Astyanax mexicanus: one gene and its partners. The protein of the gene in region 1 interacts with the protein of each later gene in a pairwise test. Links are inferred from orthologs where the notes say so. Each region holds a gene or a part of one and is shown in the gene's direction. Other genes may lie near its edges. The genes, in order: cdc73, heat shock factor 2-binding protein, tfcp2 and fibronectin type III and SPRY domain-containing protein 2.

The links.
Region 2: the proteins of cdc73 (region 1) and heat shock factor 2-binding protein interact in binary tests that used the Homo sapiens proteins (3 or more experiments, as listed by UniProt). The link is inferred for Astyanax mexicanus from reciprocal best matches to the Homo sapiens genes CDC73 and HSF2BP.
Region 3: the proteins of cdc73 (region 1) and tfcp2 interact in binary tests that used the Homo sapiens proteins (3 or more experiments, as listed by UniProt). The two-hybrid records come from large-scale screens. The link is inferred for Astyanax mexicanus from reciprocal best matches to the Homo sapiens genes CDC73 and TFCP2.
Region 4: the proteins of cdc73 (region 1) and fibronectin type III and SPRY domain-containing protein 2 interact in binary tests that used the Homo sapiens proteins (3 or more experiments, as listed by UniProt). The two-hybrid records come from large-scale screens. The link is inferred for Astyanax mexicanus from reciprocal best matches to the Homo sapiens genes CDC73 and FSD2.

Annotation. Positions count from the first base shown.
Region 1 is NC_064415.1:57,793,246-57,801,569, reverse strand, and holds the start of cdc73 (parafibromin), read left to right. Parts: upstream 1-4,896; 5' UTR 4,897-5,129; coding exon 5,130-5,260; intron 5,261-7,091; coding exon 7,092-7,197; intron 7,198-7,446; coding exon 7,447-7,516; intron 7,517-7,643; coding exon 7,644-7,706; intron 7,707-7,846; coding exon 7,847-7,899; intron 7,900-8,247; coding exon 8,248-8,324.
Region 2 is NC_064428.1:21,664,875-21,672,702, reverse strand, and holds the start of heat shock factor 2-binding protein, read left to right. Parts: upstream 1-4,719; 5' UTR 4,720-5,045; coding exon 5,046-5,096; intron 5,097-7,288; coding exon 7,289-7,439; intron 7,440-7,828. Other genes in the region: ankrd10a (ankyrin repeat domain-containing protein 10a), read right to left, coding at 1,265-1,465. UniProt on the Homo sapiens protein: Meiotic recombination factor component of recombination bridges involved in meiotic double-strand break repair.
Region 3 is NC_064420.1:6,043,652-6,051,171, reverse strand, and holds the start of tfcp2 (transcription factor CP2), read left to right. Parts: upstream 1-4,140; 5' UTR 4,141-4,474; intron 4,475-6,436; 5' UTR 6,437-6,529; coding exon 6,530-6,651; intron 6,652-7,520. Other genes in the region: pou6f1 (POU domain, class 6, transcription factor 1), read left to right, coding at 1-190.
Region 4 is NC_064416.1:45,103,013-45,110,702, reverse strand, and holds the start of fibronectin type III and SPRY domain-containing protein 2, read left to right. Parts: upstream 1-4,621; 5' UTR 4,622-4,724; intron 4,725-6,177; 5' UTR 6,178-6,178; coding exon 6,179-6,418; intron 6,419-7,690. Other genes in the region: WASP homolog-associated protein with actin, membranes and microtubules, read right to left, coding at 1,191-1,538.

The DNA of each region.
Region 1 (8,324 bases):
CCAAAAAAAATCATTTTCATAAATGGTGTCAATTTACATCTAGATGTGAGCCTGAAATGAAACAAATTAGTGCTACATGTCTGAACTCTTAATCTGCAATTATATATTTTTTTATCTGCAATTTTTTTATTTTGTCACACACATTGTAATACACAGTAAGTATTTATAGCAATAACGTTTTCAGATTAATCACATACATGTTAATATTGACACCACTCTTTGTTATGTATCTCTAGTATGACTCTACTTTAATTAATGCTTATTTAAGTGATAATTGCATTAGAGATAGGTGTATAGAACTTTTTAGTCCAAATAATCTTCACTTGGTATGAAGGATAGTCAGCAGAACACACTAAAAAACTAAAAAGGTATGATATAAGTACTTTCTTGTACTCAAAGTGTTCTTGTACTCACTTTACTGAAGAAGAAAGTCGTCACTGGTGTACTAAGTAACAGATGTCAAGGAAAACCACAGCAATTGATGACAGAAACATTATGAGATTTCATAATTGTTTCATTACCTCAAAGGCATAATATTGTTTTTTAAAGGGTTAATTTTGCTTCCTCTGCAGTACAAAGTCTTTCCTAACAGTAAGAAGTACAGATTTATACTATTAAACCAGCAACTAAAGGTAAATTCGGTATTCTGTATCACTGTACTAAAAAACTGTATATATATTTTAATTATAAATTTTCTTTTGAAAGCCAGACAATTTTGGATTTTGAAGTTCTTGACACATATCTTTGTCACTATCCAATTAAAAACAAGTATCTCCAAAACAGCAACTTTATAAGAGAGAGAAAAAAACATTGTAAATCAATGTAAAAATGTAATTTGGAAGCATTTCTATTCATTTGTTCATCAAGAAATTTTGGCACAACGTAAGGGACAGTTCGTTTGTTCAAATTATGAAGTAAACTAAAAATCAACAAAAATAGAGATACTTTTTTTATTGGACAGCAATGATATTCAGTATAAATAAATTTAACGAATTTTTACACTAATTTCTGTAAAACACACACACGTTTTTTATAGAGATGCATTTAAACTTAAGTTTTACTCCAGTTTTTAAAACCCAAAATGTTCTCAAAACTTTATACAGTTTAAACCCATTTAAAACCCCTTTCTGTGAGGAACCTTTTAGAAGTTCAGACGTCTGGTTCTGTTTACCATCACTGTAAACAAGTCTGAGTTTGATTGGGGTGGATGGTAATTAAATAGAAGCTGATTCTCTTACAGAGCTTTAGGAACGGAGTTTGTAAAAGAAATGAAAGAAATAAAACAGTAAGAATGAATGAAAATGAATTTTACTATAATTTAAAGCTTTTATGATCATTTTGCGTAAAAATTGAACAGAAAAGTAAAAGAGTTGAGGAGAGAAAAGAGTTGAGGAATCTGTCCATGGTGGGTTGCTGCCACCTAGAGAAAGCTCAAAAACTCATTCATGTCTCTGAGATCTCTCTTAGTTACGCTCCATATCCACACACTTATATCTATTCATCTTTTATACCAAGAAATAGAAGACATATTGCCCTAAATACCTGCAGTCAATTCTATTATTTCTGCTGTAGAAGGAAACAAAAAATTTAATTTGACATTAAAAGATGAATATTAGACAGAAGACCCACATTTCAGCTTTTATTTCCATCTGAGATTTACGTCTGGATCTGATACACAGTTTAAAAGATACTATAGCAAATTCTGTCTGAACCCACCCACTTTTCTTATGATCAAAAGTATTGGATCATGGATCATGTGACTGATAGGTGTGTTTTGTTGCACAGGTGTGTTTTGATGATAAATTAATTATTCAAACAATAAGAAGATAGGAAGATAGGAAATCAATCAGAGCCATTAAAGCACAAATATTGTTCATAACCAGTGCAACAGTTTAGAATGTACTGAAGAAGAAAGTCGTCACTGGTCTACTGAGTAACAGATGTCGAACAGGTAGACCAAGGAAAACCACAGCAACTGATAACTGAAATGTTGTGAGAGCTGTAAAGTGAAGAAAAACCCTAAAACTACTTTTAGTGACATCAGCAACAACATCCAGAGGGCAGAAGTGAAGATATCACAATCTACTGCTCACAGAAGAGAGAAGAACAAAAGTCGTATTAATGAGGTGAATACAAAGACAAATTTAGTATTAAAGCCTGTGGACCGATTATAGACTATGATATTAACAAATATTAACATTTACCAGTGTGATGGAAAGACTAAAGTTTGGAGAAAAAAAGGATCTGCTCATGATCTCAAACATATCAGCATTTCTTTCTCATAAAATATTATCAAAAATATATTTCATGCCATAGAGGCTTAAATCAACTTATAATAACTTTAATTTTAGAGTTTAGTTTAGTCTTTTGCTATTGGCAACTTCTGACACCAACTATTTTCAGATTGATTGTGTCCCCTAGTTTCTGCCCCTCACTGTCAGTGTGTAGTCATTCCCCCAGGTTACTTTAGGTAAACCTGTAGACCATATACAGTAAATACAGTAACTGCAAACAGTGCTTTTGTAACTGTAAAATGCTAACAGTTTGTTATCCTGTATAAAAAGTCATGAGGTAAAATGAAAGGAAGTTCCATCACTAAATACCCGTGGCCTTGTTTCAATAGCTGGACAGACGAGATTCCTCTTTTCGCTGTTTCGGAAACTCTTTGTAAAAACAAACAATGAAGAGTTCTGGAAGGAAGAACTGGAGAGAATTTCCAGTCATAGCACAGTGCGTGTCTGGAATCACACGCATTCACGAGATCCTGAGGGTCATCTGTATTTATTAAAGGGCCCGTATCCTGAAACACATTTACATTTTCATTTAAAAATACATTTCACAAGGAAGGAAATACAGTTTTTTGGAATTCACCCACTACGCAATGTCACAAAAAAATATCAGATTACAAATTAACAAATCATTCAGATTGCTTTCTGAATAAAATACATTACAGCCAATCAGAACATATTTCATTATCATATCTTAAAGGGAGGCAGAGAGGCTTAATGTAGAATAAAGAGAAATATAGAATAAATCCAAACAAATCCCTATCCAAAGTCAGTGGTCAGTGAGAGTGTCTACCGGTAACTAACTCTATATAACATTAGAATACTAAACCCAAATAAACATAAAGTCAAGTCCTCAATGATTGGGGTAAATAGGGTAAACAGCTTAAAACTTTAATTAAAAATAATAACGAATAAATATTTTTTCTAGGACATTTTGCTAAAAAAAAAACACAGACAAAAAATATCCCAAATTCCAAATAAAAATTTTGTCATTAAGAGCGTTAATCTGCATGAAATGAGTAATGACTAAAATAATAAAAAAGGCATGTTCTCCTCCACCAGTCTTACACACTGCTTTTGGATAACTTTATGCTGCTTTACTCCTGGTGCAAAAATTCAAGCAGGTCAGTTTGGTGGTTTGCTGGCTTGTGATCATCCATCTAACTCTTCATTTATATTCCAGAGGTTTTCAATTTGGTAAAATCAAAAATACTCATAATTTTTAAGTGATTTCTTATTTTTTTTACAGAGCTGTACATTAATTGCTTAATTGCTCCATATTAACAGATTCATTTTTAACTCACTTGAGAGCGCCCTCTGGTGGGCATTCTCTCCTCTGTAGAGAGTCTCTGGTTGTAGTGATTTCCAACAGGCATTTACTGAGGTCGCACTGTGTGTAGTAACTTTATTTCTAAAATAAAAGTCCCTGACACCTCCAGTAAACATTAGCAGATGGCATATGATTTAAAATACGTATGATAAAAACAACATATGCAATGTATTGCGTGCAATAAACGTAATATAAAATGAACTGATAATGCTTATCAATAATTGAAAATTCAGAAATTACAACCCAGATTATTGGAGCCGTTTGCTTTTGTTTATTTGGTTCATATAGTAAAGTAGTATCATGTTCAGTTAAGTGTTTTAAATTATGAAAGTTGTAAAAGTGTTAATACAGAGTAGATATTATTATTATTATTATTATTATTATTATTATTATTATTATTAATAATAATAATAATAATAATAATAATAATAATAATAATAATAATAATAATAATAATAATAATAAAAGTATGTTATAATATATAAATAATATGCATTAAAGATGTATATCTAAAGTTTTGTGGGGAAACTATTACAAGCAGGCATTTACGGGAGTCACCCTGTGTTCAGTTGTGAAAAGTCAAAATAAAAGTTCACACCACAAATTCAGAAATGTATTATTGTAGAATTAAATATAGAGCAACAAAAGTTTAAAAATCATATTAAATATTATATAATTATTGCAACTTCTAGACAATGTTCAGTTACATCAGAAGAACTGTTCTGTAGTTTTAATTTAGTCTATTTACTAAATACATAGTGTAGGGAATGTATTATTATTGTTTTTATTATTATGTTGTTATAATATATTAGTAATATGCATCAAAACTATATATCTAAAGTTTTGTGGGGAAACTATTACAAGCAGGCACTTGCGAAAGACACCCTGTGTTAAGTTGTGAAAAGTCAAAATAAAAGTTCACACCACAAGTCCAGAAATGCATTATTATTTGTAGAGCAACAGTTTAAATATCATATTAAATATGATATAACTAAATTCTGATATAATTTTATGATATAAATAATTATGTAATTATTGGAACTTCTAGAAGATGTTTATTTGCATCACACACGATAAGTAACGTTAGAGCAATTGTGCATACAATTGTGTGTGTAGGGAAAGTATTATAATTATTATTATTATCATTTTTATTAGTATTATTGTTATGTTGTATTAATTCAGAAGTACTGTAGCTAATTACATTGAAATATGCATTTATATATTTATTTATATATCTTTTTTATAGCTGGTTATTTCTCACGCAGGCACTTACCCGAGTCACACTGTGTGTTTAGTAACTTTGGGGCTTAAACACAAAATACAGCGCACACAGAGGAGATAAGAAAAGGACGATTTAAAGAGTTGAGGTGTTGATAAGGTGTAAAACAGAGGAGTTTATGTGGTGAGAGCGCGGGTTTAAGCGCGGACAGGGAGGGCAGCAGGGCTCCGTATAGCCCCCCGCCTCCGGTTCAGGTCTTCCCAGTAAAAGCCCGTGTGTTCGGAGGGTGAAGATGGCGGACGTGCTGAGCGTGCTGCGGCAGTACAACATCCAGAAGAAAGAGATCATCGCTAAAGGAGAGGAAGTGATATTTGGAGAGTTTTCATGGCCCAAAAACGTCAAAACCAACTATGTGATCTGGGGGTAAGAAGAGCTCGACTGAGCCTGTATCTGGCTTTACTGACCAAACTCACAGCTGTGTTGTGTACGTTAGCTTAGCTTAGCTTAGTTTAGACACCTGCAGCTAACCAGATTAAAAAACACACACATACACAGCCCGCGCATTGAGCTCGGTAACTGTGTGAGAGTTTAAAGTTTACGAGCTTCAGGTGTGTCTAAGGATTACCTGCGGATTTGAGAGACTTAAATTTAGGGTTAAGGCGAATGTTTTGGACTGGTGGCTAGTTAGCTTAGCTTACCTTAGCTAGCTAACGATAGCAACACTTAACTCTCAAGACAGCCAGCTAACGTTAACTAGCTAGCTTTGAGTTAACCAGTTGTTTAGCTAGCAAATTAGCAAGCTAGCTAACAAGGTAGCTAGTTAACGTAAATGTGTTTTATTTGCTGTTTGTTTGGGGTTGTGTCCACGATATAAAAAGCTATCTTTGTACTTTAAAATACTCCTTAGCTAACTGTTAGCTAACCCAGGTTACCTAACGTTAATTAACTAACGCTAGATATGTTGTGTGTGTGTGTGTGTGTGTGTGTGTGTGTCTTTGTGTGTGTGTGTGTGTTATGCTGAAGTGTAACTTAACGTTGAGCAAGCAACGTTAGATTTGTTAGCTATGTTAAGTTAGTTGGTTATGTTTAATAATCCTCTATTAGTCCCAAAGTGGGGGAATTTGCACTGTTACAGCAGCAAAGAAATACTAAAGCACACAGAATACGGAACTTAAAACGCTAACTAGCTTTAAAATAACCATTAGCTGGCTAACGTTACATGAGTTGTGTGTTATAGTGGAGTGTAACGTCAACGTTTAGCAAGTAGCGTTAAAATTAAGTAATAAAGTGATATCAAAGCACGCGGAAAAAGAGAAAAGTAAATGTGAGAGAAAATCTGGAAGAGTATTTAATTTGCATCAGTTTCACATTATGGAAAAACTCTATTACACATTTATGTATTGCACGTTGAGGTATAATTATAATAATTTTACTGAGTTCTGTATCAAGTAAAGCCAACTTGCTTTGAGTTCACTAGTTAGTAAGCTAGCATGCTAACAAGCTAGGTTGCTTAATTTGGTTTATTTGCTGTTTGTTTTGAGTTGTGTCCAGGACATACAAAGCTAGCTGTGTACTTTAAAATACTGTTTAGCTAGCCAACCAAACGAATAAAATCTGGAGGATTATTTAACTTAACTACAACAATTATGCATTTTGAAACTTCCTTTTAATAGAACCCAGTGGATCAACACCAGCAGATGACATGTCTCTCCAAACCATCACTGATTGGTGGAAACTTCACACTAGACCTCTAGCAGTTTGGACTGTGTGTCTCTCCACTCTTCCTCCAGACTCTGCTCCCTTGATTTCTTTTAAAAAATTGTAAAATTTACTGATGATCAGTGATGGTTTGATGGAGAGACATGTCATCTGCTGGTGTTGATCCACTGTGTTTTATTATCAAGTCTAAAGTCAGTGCAGTTTTGTTTTTCCGCACTTCATGGTGCTAACAACTTTTATGTGGATTTTATTTTCCAGCAGGAATAGGCACACTGCCCACACTGCCAAACGTACCAATTGGTCTTATATTATACTATAATTTTATGAGACACTGATTTTTGGCTCTTCATTGGCTGTCAACCATAATTCTTAACAATAAAGGAAATAAATGCTTAGATCAGTGCTTAGATAGATCACTCTGTGTGTAATACATCTGTATAATATGAGTTGCATGTTTTAAACAAAATCTCTTAACTATGTATTATGCGATAGTTGAACAACGTGTTTTTTATTTGTATTTAAATCTCTCTTACAGAACAGGAAAGGAAGGCCAGCCTAAGGAGTACTACACTTTGGACTCCATTCTTTTCCTTCTCAACAATGTGCATCTTCCTCACCCGTCCTATGTGCGCAGAGCTGCGGTAAGTGACTGAGTCTACAGACTTTAAGTTTAGGTGGTAAACAGGTTGCCTGGATAAATCTTGAATGAAACGAGATCAGCTTTTTAACAAAAATATTCACTACATGTACTATTTTTTGCTATTTTTGACATAATGTGAATGTGGCAAGTGTTCTTTTATATTGCATCAGAATTTCATTATGTATAGATCATAAGAATTTAGTTTTTTATATAAATATTTCTTGAATTGTTTGTTTTTTTTAACATTCAGACAGAGAACATACCTGTGGTCAGAAGACCGGACAGAAAAGACCTGCTGTCATATCTCAATGGAGAAAGCTGTAAGTGTGATACACCATCAACAACTACTACATTAAACTCTTAATCAGCTAATATTATGGTAATCTGTAAAGAAGGGTCTCTGTGAATGAAATAAACATGTTAAATTGTTGTTCTTTTGTTTTACAGCATCATCAACGAGTATCGACAGAAGTGCACCCATTGAGATTGGTCTACAGAGGCCGACACAAGGTACGTCACGACTGCATACAGTATATTATATTAATCTGCTTTGGAAGCATATATAACAGATAATTTCGGTTTTGGTGTGAATATGAACATGTGGCTTTGAGTTTAACTGTGATTTTCTTTATCTTTGTGTTTCTGAACAGTCAAACGAGCTGCAGATGAAGTTTCTTCAGAAGCAAAAAAGCCACGATTTGAGGTAAACTTAAAAAATATATAGAAACTTGTAGCTTTGTTTTCTACATTTTTTTCCCTCTTTAGGTGAAGTTGTTCAATTATTGTTCCTTGTTTTTATAATAGGAAATCTTCTAATTTTGAGTCCAAATTTATTGTTCTGAATTGTAAAATGTGGTCTGTATTGGCTTGACTGCCTCACTTCAAAAAACACTGTATTCAAAATAGGAAATTCTTGACATCTATATAATATATTTTTTTATTATTTTTTTGCAGTGTAGCCCGAAATTAAATACCTTGATAATTGTGAAATCCATAATATCCTTAATGTGGACCTGAAAAAAGAACTGAAATTGTGCTTCTTCATTAAAAGGATGAAGAACGAGTGCGTCTGGATAAGGAGCGTCTGGCTGCCCGTCTGGAAGGCCATAAGGAAGGCATTGTGCAGAC
Region 2 (7,828 bases), on another chromosome or scaffold:
CCGGTCTACATGAACCAACGTCTAACACCAATCTTTACATGTAAAGCTAAAATTGGAGAAAAAAAATCCATACTGCTGGGCCGTCAAATTATAATGAGAGTCTGGAAATCTGCAGTCTGATCATAAGTCCAAGACTGGCTGTTTGTAAAACATATATTGTGATGCTATTTAATACTGATATTTTCTTACACCCCTAAAATAGTTTTGTACAGCTTGGATCCTGTGAAAACAGTATCTCCACACTTCACAACACTGCAGCCGTGAGCAGTTCCCACTCCGGGGTCAAAGATCTATTTTTAAACCACAGTTTTGGCGCCTCGACTTCTATTGGTCGCGGCTCAGCCAATGAACGGCTGGCTTTGGTTTTGCGCGCTCGTACCTGGAGACTGAGCGCGCGGCTGTGCTGTCCGGTCTTTTTCAGTTGATTTGCTGATCTGAATCCTCAGTGCAAACTGTAATGTGTGTTATGCCGCTTTAAAAAAATATTAGGAAATATCGTGTACGTGAACGGCAAGACAAACTGTGTATTTACTACGAGGGGCTACGAGTTGGGGGGCGTGTCAAAATAAATGGTTAATCACAATCCATATATGAAAAAAAAACATTCCTTTTACCTATTGCTTAAACGTTGCTCTTTGTTATCTTACGTTACCTAGCTAGAAATGTTGGCAACAGAAAACAAAACAAAAAAGAAAAAAATACAAAAGGTGTTCAGGTAGCTGTTATTTTGTTTCCGATAAGAAATGCTTATTTACTTGCTTATTTACTTATTTTACAAGCTTAAAAGTCGCAAAGTAAGTTAACTTGAGTTTTCGAGGTGAACTTGAAAATAACGATACACTAACTTATCTACAAACACTTCAACAGATTTATCAGGTTTATTTTTGCACCCCAGCACAAAAACATTATACTTAACCTAGCTAATTAACCAGCTATGATGGTTTAGTGTTTGCAAACAATTATAGCTAACTTTTAGCTAGCTCATTTTAAAATTCTGGGTTTTTTCTAGTAACTGATGCTCGAGCACTAACCTATCCTAGGTTAGCTAGGCTAGGTTAGGTTAGCATGTAAACCCGCACGTAGCTCAGATTATCTGAGCTCTCTTTACGCGCAGGGGCCTCGTCAAAAAATGACCGTGGAGGGAAAAAATAATTCGCCAAGTTTAAATTCAGCCACATTAAAAAAAATAGTTAAAATAATACCGTTATTTGTTGTAGTTCAACATTAGCTAGAATATATATTATTCACGTTAGCGTTAACCTACCTTTCCGAAGTGAGCCGCCCAGTGAATGGGCGTCCAGCCGTAGAAAGAGTCCTCGGCGGCTAGGTCCGCTCTGCTGGCCGAGCACTGCTGGAGCAGCGAGCACAGCGCGCCCACATCACCGTCCCTACAGGCGCGGTGCAGCGGGAAGCGAATGTGGAGCAGCTCGTCGTTGGAGAATCCGGACTCGACGCCCACAGACATGGCCGGCTGAGGGGCTAAACTGTGCGCCGTTGAATTTAAACAGAGAAACGGAGCCTTGCTGAGCACGCCGCGGCGAGGCGTGGACTCAGAGGACACCTGGCTAACACACAAAAGACTAATACAACATAGCTACCTACTTAAATACACGCGCATCAACCCAAACACACAAGGAGACTCACACACAGACATCCACACGCCTTGAAAGTATAACTTGAGTGGCGGAAGACAAAACCCGGACCGGAGTTTTAAGTTCGCTTAACGGATTCTGTATCAGCTGGTCCTAAAAGCAGACATGGAGTAAAGTATGGATACGGATTTGGTAGTGCACTACACTCTAGTAGGGTATGAAATAGCTGAGATAGCAAAAAAATATTCACATTAAATATGTATATCCAGTGTTGGATCTAGAATTTGTCTAAAAAAGGGCAAGTATTATTTCACCAGTCACACCATGTTCAAACACTTGAATGTTATTCAAAAATGTTTACACAGTAAAATCTATATGATCAGGAGATCACCAATTCGAAGAGAGAGCACAATTGGTCTTGCTCTCTCCTGGTGGGTAGATGGTGCTCTTTCCCCACATCACTCCAAAGGGTGATGGCTGCAGTACAAGGAGTCTGTGAGCTGATGTATCAGAACCATGTCACTGTGCTTTTCTTCCAAGCACGCTGTGATGCTACTCGGAAATGCTGCATCAACAGTAGTTCAAAAAGATGCGGTGGCTGACTTCACATGTGTTGAAGGAGGCATGTACTAGTCTTCACTCTCCTGGTGGTGGGAAAAACTAGTGATAGGTGGAGTCCTACTTAGTGGGTTGCATAATTGGCTGTGTAAATTTGGAGAAAATGGGAATAAATTAGAAATAAATAAAAAAAACAGTAAAAGTTAATTTGTGCCAAAAGTTTTACACAAAAACTAAACTCTGCAATCAATCAATCAAGCAATTTTGATTTATTAACAAGGAAAAAGTGCATGCTGCAAATTCAAAGAAGAAAAAAATATATACTTAAAGATAGTTGGTAACTTTATTATTCTTTGCAGTTGTTTAAAAAATATTTTCGTTTGGATTTTACCAGTCTTTGCTTTCATGTTTGTGATTTTGTGGATTTTATATGTATTTAATCTGTAATTTTGATGGCAGATTTTTTTGTGTTTTAAACTTTTGGCACAAAATTAACTACATTAAAACCTCTTTCACACATTTACATGCATTTTCACTTTACATTTTTAAAAACCTTTTTACTTTTTCACAAATACAGCCGTTTCAAAACATCTCTCATACATAAGATTTAACACAGTAGACATTCCCATTCATTCATTGGGGACATTAGCGCCTCTAGTGTTTGGACATGGAATTGCATCCGCCTATTTTCTGATCATTGCTTTCGGGCAAAGGGCAAATCGTGAGTGACGGGACAAGGGTACTTCAAGGGGCCAATCAGATTTCAGTTGGGGCCAGTGCCCCTGTGGTCCCGCCTCTAGAACCGCCAGTGTGTATATTTTAATTCTTATAATCTGTACTATGGTATTGCAGTGTGGGTCATTCAAATTATAACTATTAATATCACTGTTATTATTTGTGGGAAGCCATTTTCACCTAACAACACTGTAGATTTAGAGATCAAACCTTTCTTAACCTTTAAATAAATATAAATTCAATATCAGAATTTCAACACTAAATAATTCCCATAAGACAATTTTTCCATAATCAGTCTTAAAGGATATAATGTAACCAAGAAATGAATGTTTATTTAATGTCCCTTGCTATCAGTGTGTGTCATTTGGGTGTTATAGGGCCCACAGAAAAGTATCTCTTTTTTATAAAAGTTTCTGTTTAAAAAAAGTGGTGCTTGATAGAAAAGAAAAATTACAGAGAAATGTTACAAAAGCTGTTTTGTTTTTTGTTTTTACCCCAGATTGGACCTCTGAACATTGGTTGCATTTCACGGCAGTACAAGGAGGGTCTTTCACTTTGGAACAACCTTCTATGTTGCTGGCTGAGTAATACCGCCTTGGCATTAAAACGCAGCTATTTATGCCTCCATAATCAGTATTGCCCTAAAAACAATAAGATATTTATTTCACTCGCCAGCAAATGCAATACAATGATTTAATCTGTATTTTAAATTGTTCTCTGATGTACATATAGAGGTTATGTGATTTTTTTTAAAGCCACAAAATGCTCAGATGTGGCATTACACACCCATTTACAAGACTGACTTGTCTAATCACAGAATTAGCTAGTCATAACTTTTTCTATAGCATTGAAATGAGAACATTGTGATTTTTACATTTGCCACAGTCAAGGCAGCATTGATACCTACTACACATGTCTACCACCAGAATTAGATAATCCAACTAGAAGTACACAAAAAGGTATAAGATACAAATGGTGCCTTTAGGAGTGGTATGTATAACCTTTTCTAATGACATCACGAAACAATTAATTCCAAGTGATTAGGTTTCCTTGAAATGTGACGTTTTAAGCTTTGTTTTAACCTGTGTCTGTAACCTGATTACACCCCACGCCATTTAATCACCATTTAATCTCAGGATGGCAGTCCTTCTGTCTGAGTGAGATTTTACAATGTGAGCAGAAGCATTGTAAAATGGAGAAATTGAGAATAGAATGCTCTGTAATGTCAGTTATTTTCTTTGTAATTTAAGTAAGATTTTACTTCTCACTACTAAGAATTCATGGTTTTGTGGTGTAAAAATATTGTCCCAAGGCCATAATATATATATTCTTGTGAACTAAATACATTTTTTTTGGCCTTAATACACCAACATGACATGGACATTAAATGGGCAGGAATTACTACTGTGGATCAAGGAATGTTAAATGTCTGGACAACTTTGGAAATGTAATGTTCCGTCATCCATCTGGCACCCACTATCAGACCTTGCTCCATCTACAGTTATTCACATAACTTTGCCATGAGTGTACCATGACAATGCCATGTCCATGTATATTTTAAGTCTTTATTTTCTATCATATGAATATTAGCCACTTTTCATATATATATATATATATATATATATATATATATATATATATATATATATATATATATATATATATATATATATTAACATATTGCAGTTGTATTTTAAAAGCTAGGGACTTTTCATAGCAAACATATTCATGCTATCAGTGTCCTTGTTGTGATGTATACCCTAAAAACTGCTGTGTGAGCAACATATCGATTAATATTGATGTTTATCGGTATGTACAGAGTGTATAAGCCACCATTAACCACAAGTCTACAGATAAGCTTTATATTTTCTCTGTATTTAATTATAAAGTTGTTCAGCTCTTTATAAAACCAGCAGAAAGCTAAGGAAAAGTTCCAGCAGAGGGAGCCACAGACCTCTATAGTCTTCCTCCTCAGCTTCAGTCTCTCAGAGGCGCTCAGTTTATAAATTTAACAGTTTTTCTCTTCAGGTTATGTGTGTCGCTTGCCCACTGCTAGCTCTATAACTCCTCTAGCTAGCGTTAGCTTTCCTATGCTAGGCTAGTTTGCTTATCTTGCTAGTTGAGTTGTATGGTTAAATAACGTTATATTTGTAGCTGAATATGAACGCAGTAGAGTCGATTAAATCTTCGCCTTTGAGCTCCACAAGAGAGGTAACCTAGTTAACAACACATATTTCTATTGGTTCTTTTTAAAGCTAATTTGAGAAAATATAAGCTAATGATAATGTTTGCAGATAAGTTAGTTAGCTAGGTTAGCTAGCGACTTTATAATGAGATTAAGTGATTTTATACTGAGATTAACGAGTGTTAAATACTGCACACTTCAGTCTTCAATAAAGCTAAACAAGTATATACAAACAGAATATTTAAATGTAAAGAAACAGATAAAATTGAAGGTGTTATGTAAATTTACTTGCTAGATAGCTAACTTTTATATCACTTAGGCTATCTTGACAGCTGATGAAGTCAGCATAGCTAGTTAGCTAAGATAGCTAAGTTAGGTTAACTAGCTATCACAGTAAAGGCAAATAATGAAAATACAAAACAATATTATTGACCCTCTATGGCATGAATTATAAAAATATTTTTTTCTTTGACATTTGTTTTATTTTGTTAACAAGCTGATTGTTTGAATCAAAACTGATTTATCATTATTCTCCTAACAAAAGCAATCTACATAATGTTGCCCTAGTTCAACAAATAAAAAAGACTTGTTTTAGTACATTTAATATGTAATAATTTAAGAATATAGTAAAAATATAAAATAAATATAAAGTACAATACAGGCCAAAAGTTTGGACACACCTCTTTTTCAATGCGTTTTCTTTATTTTCATGACTATTTACGTTGTAGATTCTCACTGAAGGCATCAAAACTATGAATGAACACATGTGGAGTTATGTACCTAACAAAAAAGGTGAAATAACTTAATATATATTGTGGCGTGGAAGAGGAAGGAAGACCCGTGAGACTCATGATGAACGCTCATAAGCTCTTTTATTTAACAGGCTTGCCACTCACTTACAGTCTTCAACAAGACTAGGAGAGCTAAAACCATCCACCCACAGAGCTAAAATAGCCCAAAGGCCACCAACCCAGCTGTGTGTCTCCCAGATGGCAGATCCAGAGTGGTGCCCACCCTCTGCTCTGATTACTGCTTTGCACACTCTTGGCATCATTCTCTCAATGAGCTTCGAGAGGTGGTCACCTGAAATGGATTTTCAACAATCTTGAAGGAGTTCCCAGAGGTGTTTAGCACTTGTTGGCCCCTTTGCCTTCACTCTGTGGTCCATCTTGATTGGGTTGAGGTCCAGTAACTGAGGAGGCCGGTTCATTTTTTGTTAAGTACATAAAACTCCACATGTGTTCCTTGATAGTTTTGATGACTTCAGTGAGAATCTACAATGTAAATAGTCATGAAAATAAAGAAAACGCATTGAGTGAGAAGGTGTGTCCAAACTTTCGGCCTGTTCTGTATAAATTGTCTTAGATTATTGTTGTAAACTCACTGAAACAAGTTTTTTAAATGAGTTTTTTAGGGCAACATCATGTAAATCGCTTTTGTTAGGGACATCATGATGAAGCACCGGCGATCCAAATAAAAAGCTTGTTTACTATCAAAATACTTATTCTTGCACATATTTTTGTATATTTTTATTAATGACCCAATTGAACGCCTCATTATGTTGGCGTAGATATTCCTTTTTAATGTTACATAAAAAAACAACAACAAAAATATGGTATGGTATGGTGTTGTATGGTATGGGAGACAGTGATATAACTTCATAAATTTAAAACTACTAAAAATAACAAAAAGCTTAAATCAATTATTTTTTAAGTAGCACAGCCATTGTTGCTCAATTAAAGTAGTGTGGACAGTGATGCTTGTTTCGGCATACAATAAATGAGTTGGTTTCATTATCGGTTTGAAATATTTCCCAATCAGTCAATGGCAATGATCGTAAAAAAAGGTGATCAGCTTATATCGATATAATCCTAAAATCATTGTGCATCCCTAATGGTATGGTGTTAAATAGTGTAATTGCCTGTGCTCAATCATCATTATATTCAAATATTTATACATTTCATTCGATAGATGACGACAACATGTAATAAAAATTACGTTTATTTGAAATCCCTATAATTGTAATTATAGAATTTTATGTTAACATATGTGTCCAAACTGTAATTATTAACTGATAAATGTTGTATTTGTTGCAGTTAGTGTAAACGTTGTCACTAGAGGTCAGCCTTGTTTAATATTAAGACTTAACACACTTGCTTGAGACTTGAAAAATTGTATTGTGGAACCTGAACCGTCAAGAAAAATTCTCTTTTTGTAGGATGCAGGAGGCGACTGTTTTGTCAGCGTGAGAAAACGGGACTTGGAAAGACTGTCCACAGAGGTCATGCAACTCAGAGAGTTCCTGCCCAAAGTTATTAACAGTGAAATCATGGTCGCCCTGCATAAAGCCCAGATCCTAGACAAAAAACGTGAGCCCAGAAAACATCCCCTTACACTCCACCACACCAGCAACAAAAGCTGTTTTAACCAAAATAAGGTCATGGGACCTACCAGACACCCTATTTTTAAAATGAATATGTTTTTAATTAATATGTTCCTTTGCAGAAAAAGGTAGCAGAAGCACGTTGATACCCTTTGTTATAATATTTTCCCTCTACGCACTCTGAAACATTAGTACTATCAAATTAAAAGGAAAATGACTGCAGCTTTAACACAACACCAAAGGAGATTATGTATTAAATTCTGCAGTAATCAAATGAGCTGTCTGTGTAGGCAATAACTAATCATAGGCAGCCTTAGTATTGATGTTATCATTGCTGGGATGGGAATATGCTAGCACATGCTCTCTCTGAGACAG
Region 3 (7,520 bases), on another chromosome or scaffold:
CAGCTTCACCCCGCAGGCCATCGAGGTTCTGAACACCTACTTTGAGAAAAACGCCCTTCCTACCGGCCAGGAGATCACCGAAATCGCCAAGGAGCTTAATTACGACCGGGAGGTGGTGAGAGTGTGGTTCTGTAACCGCAGACAGACTCTGAAGAACACCAGTAAGATCAACGTGTTTCAGGTGCAGTAAGGGAAGACTCTGAACTGTTTAGCGTGCAATACGAGACTGAAAATACGGAATAACGGACCTAAACTGTTCTTTTGTACTGTAACTTTAAAAAGATGGTGCTTTTTGTGTGTGTGTTTTGAGTGTCTAAGGTAGTGCTCCTGTTTGATGGACTTGATGATGGATTTAAATGCATGAATGGTCGATCTATGGACGGAGTAGTACAAAATATGCTCCTCTAATTTTCTGTATTTTTTTTTTTTATTACTCTGCATGAGGTACTCTCATTTAAAACATTGACCACTGATGAAGCTTCAGTGAGAAATTGAGCAATTTGATTTAATTCAATATGTAAATAGGCCTGTCATGATAAGTTGTTTTTGGAAGATATATTGTTGTAGAAATGATTTAAGACATTTTATGCCACTAATATATTGGCAGTGCTGTAGCATAATAATTCATGCATTTACACTGCATTTGCTTTTTAGGAGCAATGGACTTTTAATTACTAGGAATATTCATTGGAATTGAAATATATAATATAAATAAAAAAAAATGAAATAAATATAAAAAAACAAAGTCAGTGTAGCAGCTGAGCTGATTTACTTAATAAACATTTTTGACTGAATAAAACGACACAATAAAGTAAACACATTGAGTAATACTGAGGGCAGCAAAAATGATTTGTACAATAAGTCTATAATGTATGTAATTATTGTGACAGGCCTGTAAACTGTAAATTGTAAATTTATGTTACTGTGGTCATCTTTTTAAATACCTTAACATTACAATAATACTGTAAATAATACTTTTATAAATCATCACCATATACAAGCCCCCTAGTTATGGTTCTATTAAAAATTTAACCAACATCAGTAGTAGTACAGCACAATCTCTGATATAAATTTACAGTTTTCTACTATTCATAATCATAATCTGCTTGTGCAATATCATTTACAGCCGAGGACTGAGATTGACATCAGGTCTACACTTCCAGATGTTAAAGACTGTTGGTGATGTAACATATGAGTGTATTTTGTACATTTTTGTTTTCCAGCTCTATGGTAGCTCCTGCAATCCTCCTGTATGGTCATTGTCCGTCTGTCTGTCTTTCTGCGGTGTGTGTGAGCAGTGTGTGATATTGGACAATCATGGTATTGTGTGGATCAGATTATCAGAGTATGCCCTTTACTGAAGTGGCAGAATCCACTGTATTCTGATTGGGCTGGATAGATGTATATGGTTAATATGGCAGTGCACACTATAGGTCTATTGTTTTAAATAGAGAATTTACTAAATCTTACAAATCGTTAAAACTGCAGTGAGATAAATGTGAAGTTAAATTTCTATGGATTACTGTTACTTTATAACTACAATCTTGCCAAAATAATAGCTTAGGTAGGTCTGCGTTACATAAATGATCTTTATAATGTGAAAGTCAGCCTCATATAAAGACATACATACTGTAATGTAAAATGGGAATATGGATAAACTTTCTTTAAGTGAAGTTGCTAGCTGAAGAACAGTTTGATTAATGTTGTTTCTGGGTTAAAAAAGCCTCTGGGAAGACTTTATGTAATATATATATAAGGTGTATATATTTAACTTTTTGTGTAACCCTCAACTTGGGGGTTATGTGAAACATTTAGCAAATTTTAAATAGAAAATGCAAAGCAGGAATATGATAAAACACTCCTCATATATCATCAAAATGCACTTTTTACACCTCTCTGAGAACTGGGTGGGCGTAGTCATAATTTTCTAATGAGTGTGCGTGACTGACAGCTGTCTATCACTGGCGAACGAAGGTTTATTTAAGTTCAATTTAAGCTCTCAATGCACACAATGCACTAAGATGGTTGGTAAGCGACAGCTCACCAACTTGCCAGTTCTGGTTGCTCAGACTCGAAGAGAGAGGGCGGAGCTATGTTAACTTTGGTTAGAATTGGTCATGGTTCCCATGGACCCACTTTTAGCCCCGCCCATATCACACCCAGAGGAGAGTGATAGTGGTGAAATACATAACATTTTTAATATGAGATATTAATAAGAAATACTTTGTATATTTACACTTGGGACCCTGAACAAATCTCACATATAGCTTCCCAGAGGCTTTAAACCAACACTTTATTATGTTACTGTTAATAAAAGGTGTAATCGTTTCGTAAGGGATTCAGAACATTGATTTTTTTTCTGTTTATTTCTCAAAGCCTTAACATGTTTGTGTGTGCAGTAAATATTCAGCATGTATTTAACTATCCACAAATATCCACAGAGTCCTGTGTGTGGTGACACGACAAGGTGTAAAGGTCATAGGACAAAAAGCAACTGCTTGGAGTTTGTAAAGTTGCGTGTTCTTGTTTTGTTTGTGTTTCGTCTTAAAACTATGCCGTTATGAATTTCTGATATTCATAATGGGCTCATTTCTGTGTCTTTTTTACTCTTTGGAAGAAGCTTCTCCATTTGAAGTTGAACTGATCAAGATTTCAGCTTCATTGCATTGTACATAACTACAGTCCAATTTAATTATATTTCATTTACGCTATGTTTTAGAAACGTATATTATTATTCTAATTTTTAATAATATTATTATTAATATTTGTTTAGTGTCTTTTGAATAACAAGCCTGACATACCTGAGAAATCCAAGTAAATTATATGGACATAGTGGATACATCTTTTGTGTAACTTTTAATACTTCTCTCAATAAACTCATTTAAATCAGACACAGTTGCAATAGTTCTTGTTCTGTAATGTCACAAATACTGTGCATTTCATTCAAAAACATCATACATTCAAAAATATATCTATCTGTAAGGGGACAGTGATGTCAAAATGTAAATACATTTGAAATCAGAAGTTTACATACACTATATAAAAATAGATATATAGTTTTTTCTCACTGTCTGATCTTAAATCAGACCAAATGGTTTTAAATCAGGATTACTAAAAGGTTTTATATATATATATATATATATATATATATATATATATATATATATATATATATATATATATTATATTATATCTATACATGTATTTGCAGAAAATGAGAAATGGCTGAAATAACAAAAAAGATGCAGAGCTTTTAGACCTCAAATGTGCATTATAGAAAACAAGTTCATATTCATAAGAATTTAAGAGTTCAGAAATCAATATTTGGTTGAATAACCCTGGTTTTTAATCATAGTTTTCATGTATCTTGGCATGTTCTCCTCCACCAGTCTTATACACTGCTTTTGGATAACTTTATGCTACTCACTCCTGGTGCAAAAAAATCAAGCAGTTCAGTTTGGTGGTTTGATGGCTTGTGATCATCCATCTTCCTCTTGATTATATTCAAGAGGTTTTAAATTTGGTGAAATCGAGGAAAAAACATCATCATTAAGTGATCTCTTATTTTTTTCAGGTGACATCATGTAAAAAAAAATGTGTAAGGTGTGGGAACGAGATACAAATGCTTGGGAATTAGATAATTAAGGCATGGGAATGAGATACTAATGCGTAGGAACGAGTTAATTAAATCAGGCCGGAGAATAATAAGGCTTGCTTTTCTGTAACTTAATGCTCATGAAGAAACTGAATATTAGATCATAGCTCTTTTAATCCAGAGATAATATTTTATAAAAATAAAATGGAGAATGAATTGATTTCTTTTTATTTTAATCTCTAAATTAATTATGGTAATATTTTGGAGTGTCTTGCAGAGAGATATAGAATAATTCTTATACTAAAAGCTGATTGGCTCAGATGTAGACAGTATTAATAAATACTACAATTAAAATATTAAATAGGCCAGTTAGGTTGAAAAAATAGAGAGTTATTTTGATATAATATCTTATATTATATGAGAGGAAATAACGTTTCCTCCCTTATAAATAATACACAGTACTCAGTGCTTGTAATTTAGAATTTCTCCTGTTATCGCTGCGCTGCTTTAAGCTCCGGGGCTGCAGGGGGCAGTGCTGCAGCGCTGCTCTCCCGCGCTGAGGAAGAGAGCTGCGGATATTACAGCAATACCTAAAATCTAGAGAATCGAGCAAATAAACAAACAGGAGTTTTCTGTCTTAAAGGTCTGCTGCGCTCTTATTTCCCTCTGTTTCGGGTGATTTATGAGGAGTAGATATTATTCCGCGGGTATTGGGGGAGTTTAGAGGCTTATTTCGGTATTAAAAGCTCGATCTGACAGTTTGGTGAGTGTTGTCCGGAGAGAGACGAGCTGAGAGAGAGAGAGTCCGCCGAAAAACGGATTAAAACCATGGAGAGAAACAGCCGCCGCTCCAGCCCCGACACCCGCTCCTAACCCGGGGTGAGTGACTGACACAGAGCCGGGGGTTTACAGCGGGCTGAGTACAGGAGAATACAGGGGTTTATTATCATTAATATACAGAAATAAACACCATCACTCCTTCAGCTGCAGCACAGAGACCATGTTAGAGCAGGAGCTGAAGTTTAAGAGGAGCAGGCTGGCTGGTTTGAGTTTGAGTTTAAATTAAAGGATTTAATTTAATGTGATTTTTTATATTCATATATTCTGTATCCTCCAGGTCCTCAGCTCTGTGTAGCTGCTGTTACCGGTGTAATGATCATAAACTCGGGTTTAACTAACTTTACAGCGAGTCTTAACACCACGGAAATAACAGCAGCAGTTATCTAACTAGGTTAGGTTAACACTACACTGGAAAAAATAGGGAAAATATAACTTAGCTGTTATTTAAATTAAAACATATATGCTTATTTTAAGCAACTTTTTCTTAGTAAGATTTTAAAATAAGTGAACAAAACATTAAATCACTGTTTTTTGGTTTAAAACCAGAATATTTAAGAGTATAGCAAAAACATTAGTTTTTTTTGTAGGTTATTTTGTCTTTAACCAAACATAAGGCCTCAATTATATGTACAAGTGAACACACTAATAACAATTACTTGTCCAGTAACTTTTGTGCTAATTATGAGTTTAAATGATTTAAAATAAGGTGAAAATTGTAACCTAAATAAGACTGATCAATCAACTAATCAACCTTTATTTAAACTCATTTATACTCATACCCATAGTATTGCCCTCATGTATAATGAAGTACATAGTATGTAGGGATTGTCAAAGAGAACAAAAGACCCAGCATTTTAACAAGATATTATATATATATATATATATATATATATATATATATATATATATATATATTAATATATATATATTAAGATAGAAAACACAGAAGATCAAATAAATTTGTAAAAAAGGGATCATAAATCATAGGTAAAAAAAACAACAACGAAGGTAATAAAATAAAAAAGTAATCAAAATGCAACAACAGATGATTAAAATACAACGTAACATGCAAAACAAAGTAGAAGTTGAAGTGTTCCTTAAGTACAGCACTTAAGTAGACATACTAAAGTACTCAAGATTTTTGTACTTAATTAGTGCAGGTAGTTTATACTGAAATGTACAATTCAAGCACTGAAAGTAAAAGTACACCACTGTGTTACATAGGTTAATACTTTAGTGGAGTACAGATACAGCATTGTAGTACTTGTAGTACTACTTTATTTTTTTTTTATCAGGGTAGACAAACAAACGCACACACTGTTTATTTGGATAAAGTTTAGCACATTTAGAATAAAATCACACTATTTAATTCGCTTTTTTTTTATCTGACGCTACTAATGCATTTTCTCTGTGTGTAAAAATATGATAAATATTGTATCTTGTTAAATTGTAGTGTAAATATCTGGATTCACTGTTTATATTAGTACTAAATAATCTGGAATCTGGAGAGTAAGTTTTAACTAGTTAAATGTAATTCTAGATTAGAGAGAGTAATGCAATGATGTAAATCAATATTAACATAGGACTATTCAGAATTGATATAGAATTGGTAAATATTTCATGATTGATATCTGAAAAGAGTTTTTTACATGTAAAACTGCAGTACAGAGGTCTGTAGTTAGATTATTTTTGTTTTTACAAGTAAAACGTCAGTGAGTTAGTGTCATTTGGTGTCATTTTAGGCTGAAATGGCTCACATAAAAAATGAACTATTTATTTACTAGGGCCTGGCAATATAAAAAAAAAAAAAATATTGTTAAATATTTTAAGAAATATATTGCTAGTAGAAAAACACATAAATAAATAAATACAACAGTAATGGCAATTTTTTTTTCCAGTTTAGGGACGACTAACAGAAAGCTTTGGGATGGTTGTAAAAAAAAAGTTAGTTTAGAGACTGACAGTAGTATTTAACCTGTTGTAACTCCTCCTCCCGCGCAGGTGTGTGTGAGCTGCCCAATCAGTCGCAGGTAATCGAGGTCAGTGCGGTTGGCTGTGGTCAGTCGGACGTGAGGTAGAGCTGAAAGCTTGACGATGGCGTGGGCTTTGAAGTTACCCCTCGCTGACGAGGTGATCGAGTCCGGGCTGGTGCAGGACTTCGACGCCAGTCTGTCCGGTATTGGGCAGGAGCTGGGAGCTGGAGCCTACAGTATGAGGTACTGCATTAGTGCTGATTATATATGAGGGGTTATTTATATATACAACTGATTTTAAAGCTGTGTGAGTGGCTATTTAGCTCTTTTGATTTTATTTTAATTACATAGTAATCAGAGACAAGTTATAACAGTTATTTTAGTGAGTGCTGGATAAGAGTTCAAAATTTTGTGTATAATTAATTACCTGTAGTTTGGTAACAAATGGATTGACAAGTTTAAATAATAAAAAAAAATCTTTCTTGTTGTGTTTACACATCAGTAAATGCAGATAGTCATACAGTATCTGTGGTGTTTCATTGTTGGGTATGCTGCAGTATGTAGTATGAAAATAGATGGTTATCATATTCACTAATATGATGTACCTTTACTAAATACTGATATTTAAATGCAACCATATTTTACAAAGAATTTAAAAACCAGACAATCAATCTGTTATCCATAATTAAAAAATAACAATTAGCTTGAAATAAAGTAGTAAAAAAAGAGCTTTACTTCCTGTTGAAATTTCTATTTATTTATTTTAAGATTAGAAACATTTTACATAAACTGTTTTAAAAGAACGACATAAGTTTGTATTCGACTAAAATATCCTGTTTTCATTTCAAGGGTCAATATCTAATAATAATAATAATAATAATAATAATAATAATAATAATAATAACAAAAAGGAATATATACTGTTATACAGTAAAACCATAATATTTTTTAGACAGTTAAATAATTGTTTGCTTATGCTTTATAATTTCATTATTTATTTATGTTAAGTGATAATGTTTCTACTGAGAAGTGTTTTGGCTTTTTCTCCAGTAGTTATTGTAAATTGTGATATAAGAAATATAAAAAAAAGCAAAATATGAGGATTTTAATAA
Region 4 (7,690 bases), on another chromosome or scaffold:
AATCTATAATGTTGGTTTAATATCAAGTAGTACAGTGGTGTGAAAAAGTGTTTGCCCCTTTATGGTTACTCATTTTTTCTCATGTTAAACTGCATTTTGTGTTTACTTGTGCTGTCTTTGACTAATATTTACATTTGTTTGATGATCTAAATGTCCTATTTAAGTGGTTTCTTGATTGAGAACCGGTGTGGCCGGATTCACGCCTGGGTGTGGCTAGAGAAATGATCACACCTGGGTTCAATTTCTCAAGCCACATCCAGATCTAATTCTGGCCACACCGGTTCTCAATCAAGAAAACATTAAATAGAACCTGCCTGACAAAGCTAATATCCAAAGAAATCCATGAACAAATCAGAAATCAGTCTGGAAAAGGTTATAAAGCCATTTCTAAAGTTTTGGGACTGCAGTGAACCACAGTGAGAGCCATTATCCAAAAATGAAAAAAAGGTGGAACCTTCCCAGGAGTGACCGGCCGACCAAAATGACCCCAAAAGCACAGTGACAACTCATCCAAGAGGTCACAAATGACAACATCCAATGAACTGCATGGTCTAGGCTGTTTTGCTGCTTCAGGACCTGGAAGACATGCTGTAATAAATGAAACCATGAATTATCCTGTCTACCAAAAAGTCCGGAAGTAGAATGTGCAACCATCTGTTCGTGACCTCAAGCTGAAAGGAACTTGGGTTCTGCAGCAGGACAATGATCCAAAACACACCAGCAAGTGCACCTCTGAATGGCTGAAGAAAAACAAAATGAAGACTTTGAAGAGGTCTAGTGACCTTAAAAAGGCTGTTCATACTTGAAAAGCCTCCAATGGCGAAATTATTTTAAGTTTTTGCAAACACTTAATTGATTAATTAATTAACTGATTGATTGATTGAGTTGTTGCTGCTAAGCTTGGCACAACCAGTTATTGGGTTTAGGTAGCAAACACTTTTTCACACAGGGCCATGTAGGTTTGAAATTTTTCTTCCTTAGTATTAAAAACCTTTATTAATAAAAACTTCATTTTATGTTTACATGCATTGTCTTTGAATAATATTTAAATTAGTTTGACGATCTAAAACATTTAAGAGAGACAAACATGCAGAAAATAATAAATCACAAAGGGGCAAACACGTTTTCACACCACTTTACACTATGGTAATCTGTAATCTTGGCAGTGTACTGTAGAGGTCCTGCTGTACCTCCTGCAGCTGCAGGGCGTCCGGCCGGGTGAACAGCATGTCCCACAGGTTCCTGACCGTGTTGAACGTGCTGATGTCAGGTAGGCAGTGTTGGAGCTCCTGGGCGGTGCTGGTCAGGGTTTGGTGGGTCAGTATAATGTCATTAGCGGACAAGAGGGTGGCCCAACCCTGCTGACCGGCTCTGGACTTTGTCCCACGGCTCCTACAGGTCACCGCAAACTGACCCTCCACATCACTCCACTGCACCAAAAACTCCAGCCTCACAAACTCCCTGCTGGAGAAAATATCACTCCTCACCGCCACCCAGCCGTCCAGACTGTCCTGCCGCTCAGCCTCCACACTGCTCATCCTAAGAGACAGAGAGAGAGAGAGAGAGAGAGAGAGAAAGAGAGAGAGAGAGAGACAGACAGAGAGAGAGAGAGAGCGAGAGAGGGGGGGGGGGTAAACGTGTGAGACTTTTTTACTTTTAAAACACTTAGAGGGAGAGAAACAGAGACAGAGAGACAGACAGAGAAAAAGAGATAGGCAGAGAGAAACAGAAAGAAAGAGATGCATACAGACAGACAGAAGCAGAGAGAGAGACAGACATAGAAAGAGAGAAGCAGAGAGAGAGAGAGAGAGAGAGACAGACAGACAAAGACAGACAGAGACAGACAGAAAGTCAACAGTAGACAGTCAGAGAAAGAGAGACAGGCAGAGAGAAACAGAAAGAAAGAGATGCATACAGACAGACAGACAGAAGCAGAGAGAGAGAGACAGAGAGAGAGAGAGGCAGACAAGCAGAGACAGACAGAAAGTCAAAGAGAGACAGTTTGGCAGAGAGACAGACAGACACACATAGGGACAGACAGACATAGAGAGAAGCAGAACAACACAAACATAGAGAGAGAGAGAGAGAGAGAGAGAGAGAGAGACAGACAGACAGAAAGCGTCACAGACAGAAAGAGAAATGATGACAGATTAATAAAAGAGAGACAGACAGAAAGTGAAATTATGATAGATGAAAGAGACAGAGAGAGAGAGACTCACAGACAGACAGCGAGAGACAGACAGAAAGAGTCAGACAACAGCGAGAAAGAGAATTTATGACAGATAAGAGACAGAAACAGAGAGAGACAGATACTGACAGAGAAAAACCGACAGACAGACAGAAAAAGTCACACAGCAGTAAGAAAGAGAGATGAAAGATAGAGAGGGAGAGGGAAAGGGGGAGGGAAAGAGGGAGAGAAAGAGAAAAAGAGAGAGAGAGAGGCAGACAGACAGCTAGAGACAGAGGGTTAATGAAAGATGAAAGAAACAGAGACAGAGACACAGGCAGACAGACAGATAGACGGAGAAAGCTGACAGATGAAAACACGCTCAGAAACAGCTCTCTCTCTCTCTCTCTCTGTCTCTCTCTGTCTCTCCCTCTCTCTCTCCCTCTCTCTCTCTCTCTCTCTCTCTCTCGGACACGCTGGCGCGGGGTATGAACTCACCTGGGGGAGAGTGAGGAGCAGGTAGAGCCGGGGTTTACAGGGTTTACAGGGTTATAGGAGGGTTATGATCGGTATAAAGCGGATGTAGCGCTCGCGCTGCTATCTGTTGTTGTCACTTTGCACTCCGCACGCGGCCATGTTGAAGAAGAGTGACGTCACGGTGTCGAAATCGAAGGAAATGTGAGACTTAAAGAAAAAGTACTTTTTATTAACAACTAAAGCATTAATAATAATAATAATAATAATAATAATAATAATAATAATAAATGAATAATGATTCATAATAATTATGATAACAACGAGAGTTTTAAAAGTTTACGTCACAGTCAGCTGCCTCCTCTCTTGTTTATGGAGCCCTTCCACTCCCTTCCTCTCTCTCCCCCCTGCTATATCAGATATATCAGACAACCGCTAGAGGGAGCCCGCTAGAGAGCCCTCAATAAATGGGGGTGAATGGAGCTAAACAGCTAAAAACTCAAAGTAAAAATAGAAAATATAATGTAACCAGGATATTCCTGTAATAATGGAAAGTAGAATTAAGTATTTTCCTAATAAAACAAATAAAACCCATCTGTATATTTCCATTTTTCTACAGCAAATGAATTTCAGAGAGTAGTTATGCTAGCATTACTGCTACTAAGGGGCTGCATGTACCTGTCTGACAACATAAAGCAGCTAAAAGATCTCAAAAAAGAGGAACATTATTATACCCCGATATGAAGAAATTCAAAAACAGATGAGAAAACAGAGTCATTAACATCTGTCAGTTTTGAAAAGGTTTCAAAATCACTTGGGTACTTTGGGATTCCAACGAACCACAGTGATTCACTATTATTCACTAATGGAGAAAACATGGAACACTGGTGAACCTTCCCAAGAGTGGCCGGCCGACCGAAATTACTCCAAAAGGGCATGAAGAACTCATCCAGGAGATCCCAAAAGAACCCAGAACAACATTTAAAGAACTGCAGACCTCACTCACCTCAGTTAAGGTCAGTTAATGATTCAATAAAAAGAAAGAGACTGGACAAAAATTATCTCCATTGGAGAGTTCCAAGACAGAAAACACTGCTGACCAAATATAACACAACGGCTCATCTCACATTTACCAACAACATCTTAATGATCCCCAGAAAATAAATATTTGGTGGCCAGGGTATGAGCAACTCTGAAAATTGGACTCATCAGAGAAGATGACCTTGCACCAGTCCTCATCTTTTGCAAATGTCAGCCTGACTCTTCTTTGCTTATGATTGAAGAGTTCTGCCTCTAAGAGATTTCCATGCACTTCACCCCAACTGCCATTTGCCATTCTTTTTATAGGTCAATCTTCACACCTGAAACCCATTGAAAAACCTCTGAATGTTATCATGCAAGATGTAAGTTGGTCACGAGCCATCAAACAAAGCTGAACTACTCGATTTTGTACCAGGAGTGCAATACGGTCACCCAAAAGCAGTGTGAAAGACTTGTGGAGAGCATGCCAAGATGCATGAAAGTTGTGATTAAAAACATTAAGGGTAATTCCACCAAACATTAAATTCTGAACTCTTAAAACATTAACATTGTTGTTTATAAATTAACTTGTCCATGGTTCATCTTCATTTTACTCAAATATATACCTATAAATAGTACAGTCAGAGAAACTAACTGTGTGTGTATAAGTTAATTTAAAGTAATTTTTTTATTAAAGAAAAAAACTATCCAAACCAATCTAGAAAAACAATGTTCATTAATTAATATACTATATTTTTAGGTGTTTGTGGTTTAAGCCAGGCAGCTGTTTTAATTTTTGTTGTAATCATGTTTCAAGTGCGTATGTGTCAATGTGTGTTTAAGTATGTGTGTGTCAGTGTGTGTGTGTGAGTAAACAGGATGGGTGAGGAGGGGGTGATATCTGAGAGAGCTGCATGCCTTCACGCTCTATATTTGGTAAGAGCTGCTGTCAGGGTGTGTTGGTCTGCAGGAACACTGTAGAGAGAGAGAGAGAGAGAGAGAGAGAGAGACACGGATCTGCAGAAGCTCTGAAGGAAACAGAAGCCTCTGATAATCAGAGCAGGTGAGGAGAAGTTTATGTACATTAGCCTTTATTAATCTATTTATGTAGGTTAGTTTAAAGTTAATCAGAACTGTACTAAATTAAATATGTAATTGAATATAACCAAATAGATTATAACAGGGCTTAAAAGGGAATACATTTAAAATAAACTGCATTGAATATATGACACAACGACTTGTTTTGAATTAAACTTTGTTAAGTTTGAGGCATTTAACTAAATACTGAATATTAAAATATGTTTAAAGGTAAAAGGACATGGTGTCAAATCTTATTGCAGGAGGCTGCCTTGTGTCCACATGTACTGTTTTGTGAAATGCATGAGTTATTGTTATTATGGCTACTTCAAACTAGATTTTTCTTTTGTATTAGTTATTGCCCTTTTCTTTGCTTTGTTTGTTTTTTACTAATTTGTAGCATTCATACAAATGTCAGTTGATCTTTGTGATCTTGCATGTATATATTAGTATTTCACAACACCATTCAGTCCAAATAATATTGTTTTTAACGCCTTTAACTGTTTTTTATGTCTTACATTAAACATACTATTTAATAGGGGATGGTCAACAACAACAGCCTTTGAGCTCATTCATTATTTACTTTGGATTAAGGAGACAAACTTTTTCTTTTCTTATGTCCTTCATTGATTTCTTCATTATAAGCTACACAAATGATTATTATTTTATTACAGATACTCATTTTATCTGATCTGAGGTGAACTGGTCTGATCTGAGATTATCTAATCTCATCTGAACTGAGCTGACCCTATTTGATCGGGTTTAGAATGAGCAGAACTGAGCTAATCTGAGATGAATTGATCTTATTTGAGATGAACTAATTAAATCACATCTGATCGGAGACGATCTAATCTCATCTGAACTGAGCTGACAATATTTGATCTGAATTTATCTGCGCAGAACTGAGGTAATCTGAGATGAATTGAGCTAATCTGTGATTAATTGATTTTATCTGAGAATAACTGATTCGAACACATCTGATCTGAGATTATCTAATCTCATCTAATCTGAGCTGACCGTATTTGATTTAAATTTATCTGAGCAGAATTGAGATAATCTGTGATGAACTGATTTTATCTGAGATTAACCGATTTGAAAACACATCTGATCTGAGATTATCTAATCTCATCTGAACTGAGCTGACCGTATTTCATTTGAATTGATCTGAGCAGAACTGAGCTAATCTGAGATTAACTGAGCTAATCTGTGATGAATTTATTTTATCTGAAATTAAACAATGTGAAAACACATCTGATCTGAGATTATCTAATCTCATCGGAACTGAGTTGACTCTATTTAATTTGAATTTATCTGAGCAGAACTGAGATTAATCTGAGATTAATTGAGCTAATCGGTGATTAACTGATCCGAACACATCTGATCTGCAGTGACAGAGAGTGACAGTGTGTGTCTGTGTGTGTGTGTGTGTGCGCGCGCAGTATGGATGTGTATGGGCTGAGGGGTCCCCTGCAGGCGATCGCGGAGGAGATGGCGGTCAGTGAGGAAGAAGAGGCTGAGGGTGATGAAGAAGCGTTTGTGGTGGTCAGGAAGCGCCCTGTGACCTCTGACCCTGCTGCTTCCTCGGACATGTACTGCAGTGACTGTGGGACCCCGGCACACTCCGGACAGCACACACACCACAGGGTAGTCCCTCTGCCGGACGCTGTGCAGGACATGAAGGTCAGAGTGACGGGTACAACAATAGAGACAGAAAAACACAAAACATCATTCAGTTTATTTATGTTTAAGTTTTGGCATCCTCAATTACTTATATTCTTATTACACTGCCTGGCCAAAAAAAGTTTTCACCTTGATTTAAAGGTCATCTTAAAATGTCTAGTTGTGGTCTCTAGTTTGAATAAATGCCACGTGAGCCATTTTTTGTGAAAAATAGTGCTCAGGTGTTTCTATTTAGCCTGCTTTAGATCACTGAATTATAGGTCTTTGAAGAAAGACCAGATTTGGCTCTTGCTCATGAATATTCATACATGCAAATATATTGCCTCTAATTTGCTTACCCCCCCCCCCCCCCCCAGTCTATTTTACAGCTCTAAAACTCAAAGGACTAAATATTTTCAGTGATACATCCTTAGTTATAAAGATGTAGCACTGAGTGCTAATTAAAGTTAACGCTTAATCTTCGCTTAACGTCCGACTCGAGCGGCCCCATGGCTGATAAATGTTATCTATGCCACCGCGCGAGTACAAGTAGAGGCTGCCCTCCATGATTCCAGTCTCTTCATGGCAGCGCGAATAAGCCTCACGGCCGCGACGCTACTATGCCTGCGATTGCGTGAATAAACCCCCTACCTGCGGCCCTGTAAACAGAGCTGTTCACTCCACCTTAGCTATAGCTCCTAATGCTGTAGCCCTGTCAGAGCTAGCTGGGCAAACAGCGTGTTGTTTGGATGTTAGCATAGCTAGCTCTATCTCTCCTGCTGTCCATCTTTCTCCGCCCTCCTCCGGCTCTTGGAGGTAGGCGGTCCGTCATAAACCCTGGAGATATCAGCCAATAGCATTCTCCTGACCCTGCCCCCAAACTATCAAAACCACCCCTTTCAATATGTGCGCGAATAGTTCACTCGAGCATAAACAGCAGCCGCAGGTAATTCGCATGGTGCACGAGGACAACTGAATTTAAGAGGAAAAAACACGCAACTGGAGAAAAATGAAGCTTAAGATTTCCTTTTTTTTGCGTTTTACATTTGTGCTTGTGAGAAGTAAATTTACACACACAAAATGTTAAAACACGCAGGGTAACTTTTTTTTACCTGGCAACTTTTGACATTGATGTGAGGCCTAAATTGTACATGGTATTAACCACAGAACTGTGTGTGTTTTTGTGGGACTGTGTTGTGGCATGTGATACATCATTATTATACATCTGGTTTATTGGATTTATCATTTACGTATTCCAGACTTTACAGTAAAGAAGCACTGGATTGGTTTCCC